Linked DNA regions of Tamandua tetradactyla. The protein of the gene in region 2 interacts with the protein of the main gene of each other region in a biochemical or structural test. Links are inferred from orthologs where the notes say so. Each region holds a gene or a part of one and is shown on either strand. Other genes may lie near its edges.

Region 1 (7,896 bases), on a different chromosome or scaffold from region 2:
CTTAAGCAGCTTAGCAAAAGCTCTGCTGACTCAAGCCCAAGAGCCTGGAAAACTGTGGAGGGGGGAAGGGGAACAACTTTGACCCCACTCTTGGTTGATGTCCAAAAGGGGGAAATCTTAGCAAGCTGAGGGAACCCCCTCAAAGATCATCTAGGCCAGCCCAGGTTCTGAGCTTCCCTCACCTTGGCCCCCACAGAGAAAAGCACAGGCCGAGCCAGGGTGAAGGTGTGGCAGGGACAGTAGGGGGTGGGGGGTTGTTCTCAGGCCCAGGAGGGAAACCAGGAACAACGAGGGGCATGGCCTGCTCTTGTAGCAGCAACTTCAAGTGCTCTGCTAGGAGAGGCCCTAGCAACAAATAGGAAGGAGAGGCACAGTGGGGGGTGGGGGTGCACAAAGCACATCTTCCCCTGGCTGCCCATCCCCCGGAAATCACTCTCTAGGCCCCTGGGCCATCTTCTATTCCTCTGGGACAGGAAGAGGAAGTGAATGTAAAGTCATTCGCCTCTTCCCAAGCGTGGGGCAGACCCCGCCAGCAAGTTCTGCTGACAGCCTGGGGCCCAGCGGGGGTGGGGTGGGACACAAAGCTTGGGGCAGGGTCAATCACAGCTTGGAGGGTAAAGGAAGGGGGACGGAAGTAGGGAGCCCCTCCTCCTACTGATTTTCATAGAAAGTTAGCACTAGTCTAAAGATGTAGAGAAAAGGTACAGGGCCTAGGGAGAGGCGTGGGAGAGGTGGAAGCAGAGTTCTAGTTGTCCAACTTCCAGCCCCTGGTAAGGCTCCCCTTTTTCCCCTCACTCTCCAGCTTTTCACTGGGGAACAACCTTTGCAGTCTGACTTCATTCTCTTCTACTGTAAATTCGATATACCAAGCCCTCTGTCCTTACAGGAAATGAAGATTGGGGGACACCCATGGCTCAGAATACCACAGCCACTCCCTCCCTTCTGCCAGGGAGTGATGAGGATTGGGACCCAGGGTCAGGCCAGAATAAAGGGCAAAGAGACTGAGGGCTAAAACCACAACTGTTCCCTTCCCCTCAGCCACAAATAGCTCCCTAAGCTGGATTCTGGGTTTGATAATCCAGGAACTGCTAACCTCAGGCCAGTGTGATTAGGGTCAGAAGAGACAAGGGGGTGCCAAGGCAGAGAGCCCTGAGAGCATTCTCATCCCCTGGGGTTCTCAGCTTCTGCAGAGGAAAGGGCTCCCATGAAGCCACTTCCCCTACTCACAGCCCACAGATGCCCCATCTCTGAGGGCTATGAATTTCCCCCCAGATTAGGTGACTTCGTGGGATGTGGGCAGGAAGCCCTTTGAAGTTGCAAAACATCCCCAGGACTCGGGTCAGACAGACCTCCTGACATCGTCTAAAATTCTGCCCCAGAGTTAAGCTGAATCTTCAAAGATGCTGTTACCAACTGGGCTGCAATTGACACCGACGTCAGCCTGGTTTTCCAGCAGTGCCTACTTGGGCAAAGGAGCTCAGCACTCCAGGGGCCCAGTCAAGAATGGCCGCTATCTGGCTCAGACAGGAGGGAGCTGGGCCCTCAGGGGCCCAGGTGCACAAGCCCAGGCATGTCATCATGGCCCTTCCACAGATGCTGCACTTGCAGCTCCAGGCTGCAGGGCTCAGGTCCTCTCCAGCACCTGCACTCCATCCCCACAGGGAGGGACCCCTGGCCCCACCCTCTGACAGAGGGAGCCAGATCCACTGCCTGTCTGAATGCCACCCAATCTTCAAAGTTCAACCACCAACTCTGCCATGAGGCTTCCTAGTGACTTGTTCCTCTGTTTTGAATGCCTACTTGCCTGCCTCCAGGCAGCAGCTCTGCTGAGCCCTCAGGCTTGTAGGTAAAAAGGTCCTATTTACAGAGCACTTACAGCATGCCAAGCACTGTGCAGAGCATTCGATTTTCATAACCCTATGAAGTAGGAGCCACTATCCCCATTTTGCAGATGTAGAAACATGCTCAGAGGGGTGAAGTTACTTGCCCAAGGTTACACAGCCAGTGACATGGCAAAGCTGTAACACACCCAAGCTGTCCAGCTCAGAGACTTCATAGTGGAGACCCTCCCCGCAGCTCCATGAGTGCCTCAGGTAGAAGACAGAACCTGCTCCTCGCTGGAGGGGGGGGCGGGGGGGGGGGGGAGGCAGGAACCCACTCCGTGGTAGGGACGGGGGCCAACCCACGGAAGCGTCCTGCTCAGTTCTGCTCCAGGCCAGGGGGATGCCGCCGGGGCCCCAGCCTTCCTACACGATCTCCGGCGAGGGTTCTGCTGTCAGGAAGCCCTTGGTGGTCTCGATTTTTTCAGGGGCGGGGACTGGGGACAGGCCCCAAAGGGCTCTTGAGGACTGCATGGGTAAGGGGCTATGGTTGCAACTGTTGCCCCACCTCCATCACGAGAAAGGGAATAGGACTCTCAAAAAAAGAAAGCGGTGGGGAAGAAATAAACATTTAAAAGAGAGAAGGGACTCCCAGGGTAATCAAGGGAAGTGGAGACAGTGGAACCTCAGGCTTGGAGCCATAAGGAAGAGGCATAAAGGTAGGGGAGGGGGACGCGGAGGGGCACCGGGTGCGGGAAAGGGGGCCGGGGCTCCGTGCGCCGTCAGGGCCCTGCTGCCCGCGCGCTCTCGCGCCCGCGGGCGGCGCTCCCTCGCCGGCGCTCACCGCCAGTGATCCGCTGCAGCCCCAGCACGTCCTCCGGCCCGATCGGCTGCTTCCTCTGCAACGGCCCTGGCCGGGGCCTGGGGCCCGCCTCCAGCTCTGACTCAGATCCGGATTCGGATTCCGCCGGCGGCTTTGGCTCGGCCTTGGGCTCCACGTTTGGGCCCGAAGCCCCACGAGCCGGTTCCGCCTCCGTCCCGGCGCCGCCGCCGCCCTTCTTCACCTTCATGGCCTCGCAGGCCCGCGGCTCCTACTGCCGCCACCGCTGCCTGCGCCGGCTGGAGCCGGGGAAGGGGAGCGACCGCAACCCCGCCCCCGGCCGGGGCCCCAGGTACCGCTCCGCCCCTCCACCGGGGTGGGCCCCAACCCAACCCCGCCCACCCGCCGCAGCCCGGCGGAAAGGGGGCGGCGCGGCGGATCGACGCTCTCCCTGGGCTTCATTCTTTCGGTAGATGTTTCAGGGGGTTCTCCCTACAGCTCCTGGCTGTGCGCCAGTCACTCTGCCCTTGACCCATCAAGCTCGTCCCAGCCTTCGGGGTCTTTGCCTGCGACGCTCTTCTCCTATATGGTCTCTTCTTGTCCACTTGGTCCCAGCTCAAATGCCATCTGCTCAAAGGCCCCCAGCAGTCCCACTTTTAAGTACACCCTTCCCCCCCACCCCAGCTGCTATCTGATCAGCCTGTTTTTTCTTTCTAGTACAGTTACCTGAAGTTATTTTAACTTGCTCCCCGACCCTTCTCCCTAAAAGATCAACTCTGTGAAAGCAGAACCTGTCTGCTTCATTCCCCATATACCCCCAGCCTCAAGCAGTGTCCAGAAAAGCCAGTGCTCTATAAATTTGCTTTTTACTAACTGATGAATTAATATTTGTTAGTACTCACTGATTCTCTCCCAGAGCCTTTGCTAAGATGCAGAAATAGCTGCAGCAGCCTTGTTGGACAACCCAGTATGCACAGAGAGATAACAACCCAGGTGTCCTGCCCTACAGAACAGAGACAGGCAAAGCACATGGCCAGGTGGAGGTGAGGCAGGCCTGTGAACCCAGGAGGGTAGATACCAGGAAACGGTCACTTACACGTGATTGAAAGAATTCAAAGTATACCCATCCTTCACATGATTCTAATTCATATTCAACCAATGTTTATTGAGAGCCTAGTATGAGCCAGATACCTTTATATGCTTTACCTCGTTCAATCCTCATAACCACCTAGTGAAAGAGGTATCATTAGTGCCATTTAACAGGCAAAGAACTGAGGCTCAGAGAGATTAAGTGGCTTATCAAAAGCTCCACAGATGACAAGTGCAGAAGAAAGGATTTAAACTCAGGCCTATTTAATTCCAAGTCCAGAACTTTTCTCACTGTACCACACTGCCTTTCTAAGTGGGTGAATGGAATCTCTCCCACACACACAGCACTAGGTCCTGAGCTGCTTGCTGTCTTCTGGACTCTTATCTGGCTGTACCAAGAGGCATGGCCAGCCAGGCGGGAGGGGAGGAGGCCCCAGAAGTGACCTATGCCTGGCCCTTCCATCACAGCAGTGCTGGGGCTCTCCCGGAGGGATCAGAGAGAAGTGTTGAGTCGGGGGATCCAACCCAGGAACCCAGGGCTTTCCCCTAACATTGCCTTCTTGGTAGGAGAGGAATGTGCCATGTTGAGAAACAGGACAGAGTCACAAGCTGCCCCTGGCCTAGAAAGAAGTCAGCAGGGGCCTTCAAGTTCAAGTCAGATATGGAGACCCAGATGATGCCACTTTTTGAGGAGTGGGGTGATGGGGGAAAATGGAGCCCAGGAAATGGGACAAGAGGAGAGGTGAACCCATCCTGGAGTGCTGTACTTTGGTTGTTGGAGAGGCAGTGGAGGCGGCTAGAGACAAACAAGTCGTCCTGGCAGGCTCCCTTTATAAGTCTCTCAATCAAACACCTCCCACCCTGGCCAGAAAAGAAGAGTCCCTACTGAGATGTTGTCCTGCTCAGTCTATCTTCTCAGGCTTCTTCCAGGACTTGCGTGTCTCTAAGAAGATCTTGGCCAGGGACAGGAGGATGGGCACAGCCATGGGCAGGAAGAGTGGGATGTAGATTGCAAACTTCTGGTCATCAGGGAAATAAAGGAGATGGAGGAGTGAGGGGTCAAAAAAGGCACGCTCTGAGGATGTCACAGCTTCCTGGCTGGCAGTGAAGGCAGAGGCCAGGTGTCCAGCGGCCAACTCCTCTGTCGCTTTCTGGACTGCAGCTACCGCTCTGTACACCTAGAAATAGGAGCATTTCAGTGGAAAGTGTGCCTTCTGTCTACCAGGGCCTACAGTTTGCATAAGGTATGTGAAAGGTTATGGGGGTATTTTCTTAGAGGCAGTGGAGGAGGCTAGAGACGAACAAGTCATTCCGGGCAAGCCCCATTTATGTGCCTCTCAATCAAACACCTCCTTCCCTGCTCAAAATCTCATACTCCCATTTCATCTCCTGCTGTGGAGCTGGTACTGCCCACTGAGGCACTTAAGGATGGCAGGCCCACACATGCCCTGGTGGTATGTGAGAACTGGCTCTCTTTGGTCTCACCACACACTGGCCCTCGCTGGATTCTGAGGCCACAAAGTCCACCCCATGCCCATTTACCTCAGATGCCACATCATCCTTGATAACAATGTTGCTGATCTTGCCCAGAAGCTGGGCCAGGGAGGTGAGGGTGGTGGTGGCCGTGGCTAGGTTCTCCACTGATCGAGCCCAGAGCAGCCGGTCCAGCTCCCACGTCATTAGCCCTTCACTCCTCGGCCCAGAAAGCAGACATTTCAGAGGCACCTGGGGCTGAGCAATCCCAAAGAGCAGCCTGCAGGAAGAGAAAAGTAAGATCAAGATGGCTGATACGAGAAAGTGGTAGAAGGCAGCTAAGATTCCTCAAATATCTGCCCCAAAGCCAGATTCTTGACCTTACTCAGAACCACAGGGCTTATGGGGAAGTGCCTCAGGGTCTGGGTCTGGGGAGTCAGCAGCAAAACCCAGGAATCAGAGCCCTAAATCCTACTTCAACCAGTGTTTCCACTTTTACCTATTTCTATATATGAATTTCCAAGATCTTACTTGAAAAAGGTTCCATGGCTAAAAAATATCTGATCAAGTATACTGATTTAGTTTAATCCCCTCACCCTCTCTACCCTCTCTTTGGACAAACGGGCCCCTGGGACTTAGAGATAAGGGATGATCCAGGGCCACCTATGACAAGGCTTGGGTGCAGTGCCTCTCTAATTCTGCACCCAGGGTAGACACTGCTAATCGATCAGAAGAATACTCTTTCTTGATGAACTCAGAAACAACCGTAGAATCCATCGATCACTCAGTACAAGAATTAACAGCTGTTTCCTCAAGCACCCCTAATCACACCTCATGGACCTGACATTCATGAGTCTACCTTTCTTAAAAGGGAGCTTGTCCCACAACTAGACCTTCTTAGGAAAAGGAAGATGCAATCTTTGGAAACCTCTCCGAGCAAGGTATTCCTGCCAGGTGAGATTTCATTCTGATCTGAAATTCCCACCCTCTACAGTCAAGGAGATTGTCGCTAGACTCTCAGTGGCATGCCCCCAAGTGGATCACCCGGGACCTTACCGCAACTGAGCCAGGAACACCTCCATTACCCGCACCATGTCTACCTCCACTCTCACCGGCAGCCCTGAGGCATTGTAGGCTTTGGGGTCTACGTTGTATATCTGAAAGGAGGGATGAGGTTGCCACACCATCACGCCAGGAATGTGCACAGTTCTGCCCCAGACACCCCTGGCGACCATGTGCAGAGCTGTGCACAGAGAAAGGAAGGACAGTCTCTGTCCTTTAGAAGCTACAGCTAACACTTACTGGGAGCTTTACATAAATTATCTCAATTATCCCCTCAAAAGACCTGTAAAATGATATTTTTATCTCATTTTAGAGTTTTCACCTATGAAGAACTCCTAGTCTAAAGTTGGGAGACAAAAATTCCCAACTTTGCAAGCCTCCCACACATAGGGCCAAGATTAAAAATGTATACAAAGGGCAGGCCGCGGCGGCTCAGTGGCAGAGTTCTTGCCTGCCATGCTGGAGACCCGGGTTCAATTCCCAGTGCCTGCCCATGTTTAAAAAAAAAATGTACACAGAATAGTCCTAAGTAAGTGCAAAAGGTCATATTACATAAAACACTGACAGAGATAAGAAACAGTGGGGCAGGTTGAGGAAGGGAATGAGCACAGAGCACCTCACTGCCTTGGTGCCTATAGCTGGTGCCTCCCCCTCCTCCACCAACAGAAGGAAGAGTCTCAGGGAACATCTCTCTGTCACTGAAGCTTGAGTTCTGGGGTATGCAGTGTGACTATTACCATAATGCCACCCCAGCGGGGGCTGTGGAAGGCATTGGTGGCCACCAGAGCCCCGTCCTTGTCCTGAATGTAGAGGGGAGAGTGGGCAAGCTCAGGCACGTAGAGTAAAAAGTTGAGCACAGGGTAAAGAGAAGCAGCGCTGGATCCTGTGGCACAGAGAGAAGGGTAGACAGAACACCAAAACACAATGGACCTAGCTTAGTTCCAGATCAGCCTCTAATGTGCCAGTCACTCACTTCGGGCCTCAGTTTCCCAACTGCCCATCTCTACCATACCCTCCAGTCTTGGGTTTCTGTGGCAAAGGACCTCTGAACACTCTCCCAAGGTCTGCCACAAGGAAAGACTGCAGTCCTTATTCCCAAAAGGCCCCAGAAATCCCCCCACCTCTAAGAGGCGCCCTTGATTGTCTAAACCAGCTCTCTCGGCAAGTGCCACACTGTATCCATATTGCTAGAGCTAGATTTATGCACAAGTATAGCTCTGATCTTCATGTCAGTTCCCTGCTTAATATTCTTCAATGGCTAGTCATTAATTTTGGGTTAAAATTCAAACTCCCTAATGGGGTCCTTTATGATCTGGTGCCTGGTTGCCTTGCCAGAGCCTAACCTTTGGTCACTCCCTCACAGCTCAGCCACACTCAACTACTCTGAACTTCCCTTTTCCTGAAAGCCTCTTCTATCTCTGTAGTCATCACTGCCATGAAGCAGTCCCTCAGCCAATGTTTGTTGAATGAATGAATGGAGAAAGATTTTGCCATTCAAGTGCTGCCCTTCCACGCCCCTTGGTCCACACTGGCCTACCTCTAGTGTCTGGAATCCCACCATTAGCAACAGACTCAGTCTTGTTTGCCTGCATGACAGCTCTTGGGCCCACCTTGTTCACACTTTCTCTCCCT
Region 2 (7,228 bases):
CTGGGGTTAGGGCATTCTAGGCACAAGGAGCTATAACAGCAAATAAGCAAATACCAGGGAGCAGCCCCGTTGGCCTATTTATGAAATTTCCTGACCCTTTTGCTGCCGAGTAGGTGCAAATGAATGGGTTAGCTTGCCAGTGGGAGAAGCACCCTAGTCTCTCCTTCCAACAAGAAGGAGACTTGTTGGAGCGGGTGGAAGTGGGCAGGCCCTGGGCTCAGCTGCCTGGGCAAGTGACTCCAGTCCAAAAACTTTGGGGTGATAAGAGGATCTCTCCTGGAGCCCAGCCTTAACCCTTTGATTATCCACCCTTCCCCCCAGCATCCATGCTTGCTTCTACCCTGGATCCTTCCCACCAGCTGACAAAGTCACTGTTTCTCTCATCACAGAAAAGGCCAACAAAACCCTGTCTTGATTCCTCTTCCCTCTAGCTATTCTTTTACTCCCTTCTCTTTCCAGTGGATCTCCTGGAAGAAAAAAAAAAACAGGAGTCAATGTTCACCCAGTCTCCAACTTCTGTCCTCTTGCTCTTTCCAGAACCTACTCCCATTGGGCTTTTGCTCCCACAGTTCCCCAAACTGCTCTTGCCATGGCCAGACCCAGTGATGTCCACACTGCTTTCCAATGGCTGGTCAGTTCTCGTGTGCCCCTCGGAGTGGCCCCCTCCCTCCTCCAGACTCTGTCCTGTCCTGCCCTTGCTCAGGCGCTTGCCTTCACCTGGTTCTCACCTCCCTGGCCTCTGGATGCAAGTGCACTTCAGTCTTCTTCTCGGTCTGTCCTTCCTCCCTGGGTCAGCTCATCCAGGATCATGACTTCAAATACCATCTTTATGCTGATGACTCCCCAATCTATACCTCAGGCCCACCCACTCCCCTGGACACTGGTCCATAAAGACAGCTGCCTCCTGACATTGCTAGGATGGCACAGAGGTACTCACAGGGCCAAAGCTGAGCTTTCAGCCCAATCCTTCCTTCCCCACTCCAGGGTTTCTCTATCTCAGCAAGTGGCTCCTCATTCTTCTAATTGCTCAGGCCAGAAATGTGAGTCAGGCTTGACTTTGTTCTCTTTCACACCCACATCCAACCCAGCGGCAATTCCTGCTGGCCCTCCTGTCAAAATGCCTCTCCACTTCCATCACCTCACTGCTTCCATCCCGGTCCCAGCTGCCATCTAACCTTGCCTGCATTATCTTTAAATGCCCCCTAACTGGATTTCCTGCTACTGTCCTTGCATCCCATTATCATCAAAGTAGAAACTGAGAACAATCCTTTCAAGGCCAAAGTCAGATCATACCTTCCTGCACAAAACCCTGCCGTGGTTCCCTTCAACACTTACAGCAGAAGCCAAGAACCCAAAGGCACTCCATGGGGTAGTTCTCCCAGCCCACCCCTTCACCTCCTTGACCTAATCTTCTAGGACCTTCCACCTTGTTCACTTTTCAGCCACACTGCCCTCCCTGGCATCCTCTGGAACACACCAGCTGAGCTCCACCTCCAAGGCCTGTGCAGCTTCTCCAGATACCCTCCGGGTCACAACTTTCTTTACTCAACCCCCACTCTCCCCATGTAGCCTTTCTTGGCCACCTGATTTTAAACTGCTTTCTTCTCCATGCATACTAGATTTCACTTCTTTGTTTTATCATCTTTTGCCAGGAATGACATAACCCCCAGGAGGGCAGAAGTTCCCGTTGGGCTGTTTTACCCCAGCAACCAGGACAGCACCTAGCACAGAATAGGTGCTCCATTAATACCTGAGTAAATTCTCTGTGCCCTTCTCGGGCTTTTCCCTCCCTCAAAAAAAAAACACGGCGTGAGCATTCTTTTTTTTTTAAGCTATCAGCGCACATAAACGTCTGCTTTCGCCTGCTCCGGGAGCTCCGGGGAGGGACCGGCCCAGTTCGCGGATCGCAGGCTCCGTAGGGGGCCTGGCACCGAGGAGGGGGAACGAAGTCAGCGCCTGCTAACGCCTCTCGGCAGGTAGCGGGGCCCCACGGCCTGCAAGGCCCGCGACCAAGGGCCACCGAGGGGACAGGCAGCTGGGCCCGCGCGCACCTCCCCTGGGACCTGAAGGCGGGGCCCGAGCCCCCGGGACTCTGAACTCGAGGGCAGGGCCGGGGCCTGACACCCTCGGACAGGGGGGAGGAGGTCGGAGCCGGGGAGGACAGCGGCCCCGAGCTCGGGCCAGACCGCCAGATGGCGGCGTCCGAGTCACCTCCCGGCCCCAGGTTCCCCAGCATCTGCGACACCGGGTCCCGCCGCTCCGCTTTTAGGCCCACACCTCTGGCCTGTGGAATGGGGCACCCCCCTCCGCCCGTGCAGGTGGTACGGCCTTCTCCCGGCCCCCGCTGGAAGCGATTGGTAGGGCCCACGTGCGTGACGCACACCGGGCAGTTGGCGCCGGCCACCCGGCCGTGCACCCCGCGCCCGATAGGGGGCGCCTGCCCGTCGTGGGTGGGGGCCCTCGGTACCCTCGCAGCTCCCGCGTCCGGGAGGATACAGCATGAGCAGTCGCAGCTCCCGCTCTTTCTGCTTCATCTTCTTCAGAATGGTCAGAAGCCCCATGGTCTTAGGAGCCCCCTCCCGGCAGCCGTTTCTTCCTTAGTCCCGGGAGCCCCGCATCATGCTCCTATTGGCCATCACGCCCACCGACGGCACAGCCTATTGGCCAGTCCTCGCTTGGTCCCGCCCACGCTCTCACGTGACCTCGGAGGGAAGCCGGTGGGGGGGCTTCTGAGTGGGCGCCAGCTTTAACCCTTCGCGTTCCGTTCCTGTCTCCGTAGGGCCGTACGGAAACCCCGGGTTGGATCTTGGTTGGGTGGGGGAGTAACAGCAAAGGGCTGTGACCCGCTGAGTACCCAGAAGTCAGAACCGTGAGGCCCAGGGTGTTGACCGGCTCATCCTGGGGCCTGCAGAAGGCCCTGTTCTCCCGGCTCCGGGTCCGGATCCTTCATTCTGCCGGTGCCGGAGCAGAGGATTGGGCCTCCCTCCTCCTGGGCTCTTGGAATCGGAGAGGGTGGGCCGTCGGGTCTTAATCGGGGGTCGATATTGCCCCCTAGGGGCCTTTTCCAAATGTCTAGTAGTCTTTGGGTTGTCCCAGCGCCGGGGGAGTGTCTCTGGCGTTTGGAGGGCGGCGGGGCGGGGATACCAAGCGTCCCGTGGTGCTGGGAACAGACCCGGCCGAGGAAGAATTGTTCCTCTCCAGATGCCGGCAGCTTTGCTTTTGAGAAGCACAATCCCTCCTTTTGCAGATGTCAAAGTTGAGACCCGAATGGTGGTTAGCACGGTGGCTGGCTGACAGTAGGTGCTCAGTAAATGTTTACGGTGGAATGAATGACTTTGTCTAAGAGTCTTAGCACTCAAGAGGGCCAGCAAAATTGAGGACACTGAGGCCAGGGACCCAGCAGATTGTCGACTGGGATGGAGGAGCCTTATGGTCTTCTTTTGAGCTCTCCCCCCAGCCGGCTACTGGGGCAGTGTGAGCAAGTAGCCCAGCCCCGCCTTATGCTTGGGAAGGAATCTTCAGGCCCCAGCCCAAGGTAACTCCATTCGCAATGCGCTCCATTTGCCTTGAGAGGGCTTGCTCCTTTTTGTAGATGTGCTAATGGAGTCCAAAGAGTTTAGGAAGCTTGGACGCGTGGAAAAAAAATTGCACGGGACAACGTGAGGTTATTTAAGTGCTATAGCAGGGGAGAAAGTAGAACTCAGCTCCTTGGAACTAAGGACAGTCACAGGTGCAGTCAACTGACTGATGATTTAATTAACCAGCCTTCTGGTTTATCAGCCAGCCATGAAATATCCTTACAGTAACGGTCAGGCCAGTGCTTGCCTAACTAGACACCTGGGCATCATCACCTGGTCAGGCTGACACCTGAACCTAAACATCACACCCAGGAAATCAGAATTGAACTACATTGCAGCTGGTGATTGAACCTCCTGCAGTCTTTATAGTCACAAATAGGTTGAAACCTGAAATTGCCTGTATTTGACCGTTGTGACTACAACATGTCAGTTTCAGTAGAATGAATCAAAGAGAAAAACATGGCCAACTTTCCCCACGCAGTGTTTGCCAGAAGGTTGATTTCCATATTTACGTGATGTGTGTACCTCTAGCTGTGGGTCACGGCCTCAAAGCCTGAAAATCATTGCAGCGTGACAGTTAACCTGGGGGTAGGGTTGAGAATAAAGTTATGACCTTAATCGCTTCCAGATTGCTTTTCTTTGCTACTGGTGGCATTGAAATCCTTGTTTAAATGTCAGGCTCAAAGTCCTGCCCTCCAACAAGCAGATGTAGCTGCTTCCCAGGGAACACACCATAGGGTTTCAGTGAACATCAATGGAAAAAGCCACCTGCAAGCTCTGTGAAACCAGGAAGGCTGTCTTGAGCTTCTGGTTACTAATTGCCTGTAGGTTGATATTTATCAGGGGAGGTGGAGGGGCTTTTAAGGACGAGAATGGAGCCCTGCGGTGTGGTGGTTCCACAGGAGGCTAGGGGTGGAATTGCCATATGATCCTGAAACCCCTTTGCTCAGTATGTCCCTGGAAGAACTGAAGGTGGGGACATTTGCACACTGGTGTTTCTGACGGCAGTGTTTGTGATTTGCAAAGGGTGGACGTGGCCTAAGAGTACAACAGTTGAGGAATGGAAAGGAATCTGTGGTGTACACACACAACAGGACGGAATGAAGTTGTGAGGCATGCAACTAAGTGTATGAATGTTAAGGACAGTATGTTGAATGAAATGTCAAGAACAAAAAGACAAATATTATCATGCCTCACTCATGATATAGATTAACTATAATATACAAATTCAGTGAATTGAAGTTGGGAGCATGGGTTATCAGGTTGGGGCCTAGGTTGTGAGCTCTTACAGTAGCCACATCCATTCTGGAGTTTTAATTGTTATTTCTAAATCCTAAAATACTAAGCTGTTTGTGTATAACCTGGTCCTTCCCAGAAATTTTGGGTATTTATGTGACACTTGAGACTCAGAGTTAGAGCTCTGAAGCTATGAAAGTCAGCAGTACCCCATACTGTTTAAAAGTTGAAAAAGGGATCAGGCTTTGAGTAGAGATATGAATGAAGCTAATCTGAACAAGACTAAGGTAAATCAGGATACAGGGTACAGGATGATATCATCCATGTTTTAAAACTTCAACTTCTGTGTGCAACCAAAGGGAGATATGTTTATTTGTTGCAAAATTTTTATTTTGGGTAGTGTATTATCTAATTTAACCTGTATGGTCAGTTTATTTGACCACCATAATTACATGGAATCTTGAATAGGGCATGAGGTCTTGTTGGTTGGTGCAGGTTAGTGCAGGTTAGTCCATATATCCCAAAGTAATGTGGACAAAGAATGAAAAAGCATTTGCAAAGTTCCCTTGGGGAACTGGGGAGAAAGGAGAAAATAGTCAGTTTCCACATCTGGGGAATTATTGATATTCTCACAAGCAGTGAGGAAGACCAATCAATTTAATAGACTGAGCCCTTAATCTTGGGCTTCACCCCTAAGAAACTTATTCCTGCAAAGAAGAAGCTAGGCCTACTTGTAATTATGCCTTAAAGTCACCCCAGAGAACCTCTTTTGTTGCTCAGATGTGACCTCTCTCTCTCTAAGCCAACTTGGCAAGTGAACTCACTGCCCTTCCCCCTACAGGGGCATGACTCCCAGGTGTACAGATATCCCTGGCAACATGGGACAGAACTCCTGGAATGAGCCAGGACCCGGCATGATGGGATTGAGAAAGGCTTCTTGACCAAAAGGGGGAAGAGCAAAATGAGACAAAATAAAGTTTCAGAGGCTGAGAGATTTCGTACAGAGTTGAGAGGTTATCCTGGAGGTTATTCTTTTGTATTCTTATGATTGAATAACGATATTGTTTTTACAGTGTGATTGTGTGATTGTGAAACCTTGTGTCTGATGCTCCCTTTATCCAGGGCATTTATAGATGAGTAAAAAAATAAATAATGGGGGGGGAATAAAGGGGTAAAAAAATTGCATAGATTGAAACGCTAGTGGCCAATGAGAGAGGGGAATGGGATATATGAGTTTTTCTTTTTTCTTTTTATTTCTTTTTCTGGAGTGCTGCAGATGTTCTAAAAAACGATCATGGTGATGAATAAACATCTATGTTATGATATTGTGAGCCACTGATTGTATACTATGGATGGACTGTAAGTGTGTAAAACTTTCTCAATAAAAATATAAAAAGTAAAATAAAACACTGTCACAGGCAGTGTTTTTCTTGTCCTCTTGAGAAGAAGAAAAAAATTCAAAGAAATAAAATCTTTGGGGAATACCTTTGGAAGACAACTGGGAAAGAAGATATATAGAGCTGTAATTATATAATAACGTATAACTCTGTGTGTGTATGTATGTGTGTGTGTGTGTGTATATATATATATATATATATATAATTTTTCTCCCACAAAACAGAATCTTGAAATGAAAATACCCAAATCCTGACAGCTATGAAGCCTGCTTTTGAAGGAGGAACTTTTGTGAGCTATGTGGGCTCCAACTTGAGGATAGAATTCTGGGCATCTTTTTATAAGGCATGCTTTAGCCATTGTCTGTGGAGAACAATTTGGCATTATAGTTTTAATTTAAAAAGTGATAGCCTTTTTGATCCAGCCAATCCACTCCATAGATCACCTTTATAGTCAACAAGGAAAAACCCCAAAACCCTTTTGTCCGGCGGAAAAAAACAAAAGCCAGGGAGAAGACCCAAGTTAAATATAATTGCTGATTGTTAAGCATTAGCAAGAAGTTTGTATATATATATATAAAAAAATTCTTTGGTGTATATATATACCAAAGAATTTTTTTTACACTTTCTCTAAAAGGAATTTTCTATTTGAGTCTTTCAAACTAAAATGATCACATTTGGTTGCTTAAAATAAAGTTAGTTCATTTTTATTAAATTTTAATATAGTAACCCTTATAACGTTTCCCATTTTTAAAAACTTTTTTATTTGGAGCAGGCCATGGTGGCTCAATGGCAAGAATTCTCGCCTGCCATGCCGGAGTCCCGGGTTCCATTCCTGGTACCTGCCCATGCAAAAAACAAACACAAACAAACAAACAAACAAATGAAAAAACCTTTTTATTTTTGAATAAGTTCAACCTACAGGCCAGTTGCTAAAGTAATATAAAACCTGTGCAGAGAACTCCAACATATTCCCATCCAGATATCCACATCCACATTTTGCCACATTTGCCATATCAT

Evidence for each region. The genes of interacting proteins can lie anywhere in the genome.
Region 1: the proteins of ARL2 (region 2) and UNC119 form a complex in vitro, tested with the Homo sapiens proteins (2 studies listed by BioGRID and IntAct, with this or other methods). The link is inferred for Tamandua tetradactyla from reciprocal best matches to the Homo sapiens genes ARL2 and UNC119.

What each region holds. Positions count from the first base shown.
Region 1 is NC_135332.1:51,779,804-51,787,699, forward strand, and holds the start of UNC119 (protein unc-119 homolog A), read right to left. Parts: upstream 3,003-7,896; 5' UTR 2,891-3,002; coding exon 2,665-2,890; intron 1-2,664. Other genes in the region: GPI-anchor transamidase component PIGS, read right to left, coding at 4,632-4,907, 5,272-5,482, 6,259-6,359, 7,002-7,147. UniProt on the Homo sapiens protein: Involved in synaptic functions in photoreceptor cells, the signal transduction in immune cells as a Src family kinase activator, endosome recycling, the uptake of bacteria and endocytosis, protein trafficking in sensory neurons and as lipid-binding chaperone with specificity for a diverse subset of myristoylated proteins.
Region 2 is NC_135335.1:9,561,777-9,569,004, forward strand, and holds the start of ARL2 (ADP-ribosylation factor-like protein 2), read right to left. Parts: upstream 3,020-7,228; 5' UTR 2,562-3,019; coding exon 2,497-2,561; intron 1-2,496. UniProt on the Homo sapiens protein: Small GTP-binding protein which cycles between an inactive GDP-bound and an active GTP-bound form, and the rate of cycling is regulated by guanine nucleotide exchange factors (GEF) and GTPase-activating proteins (GAP).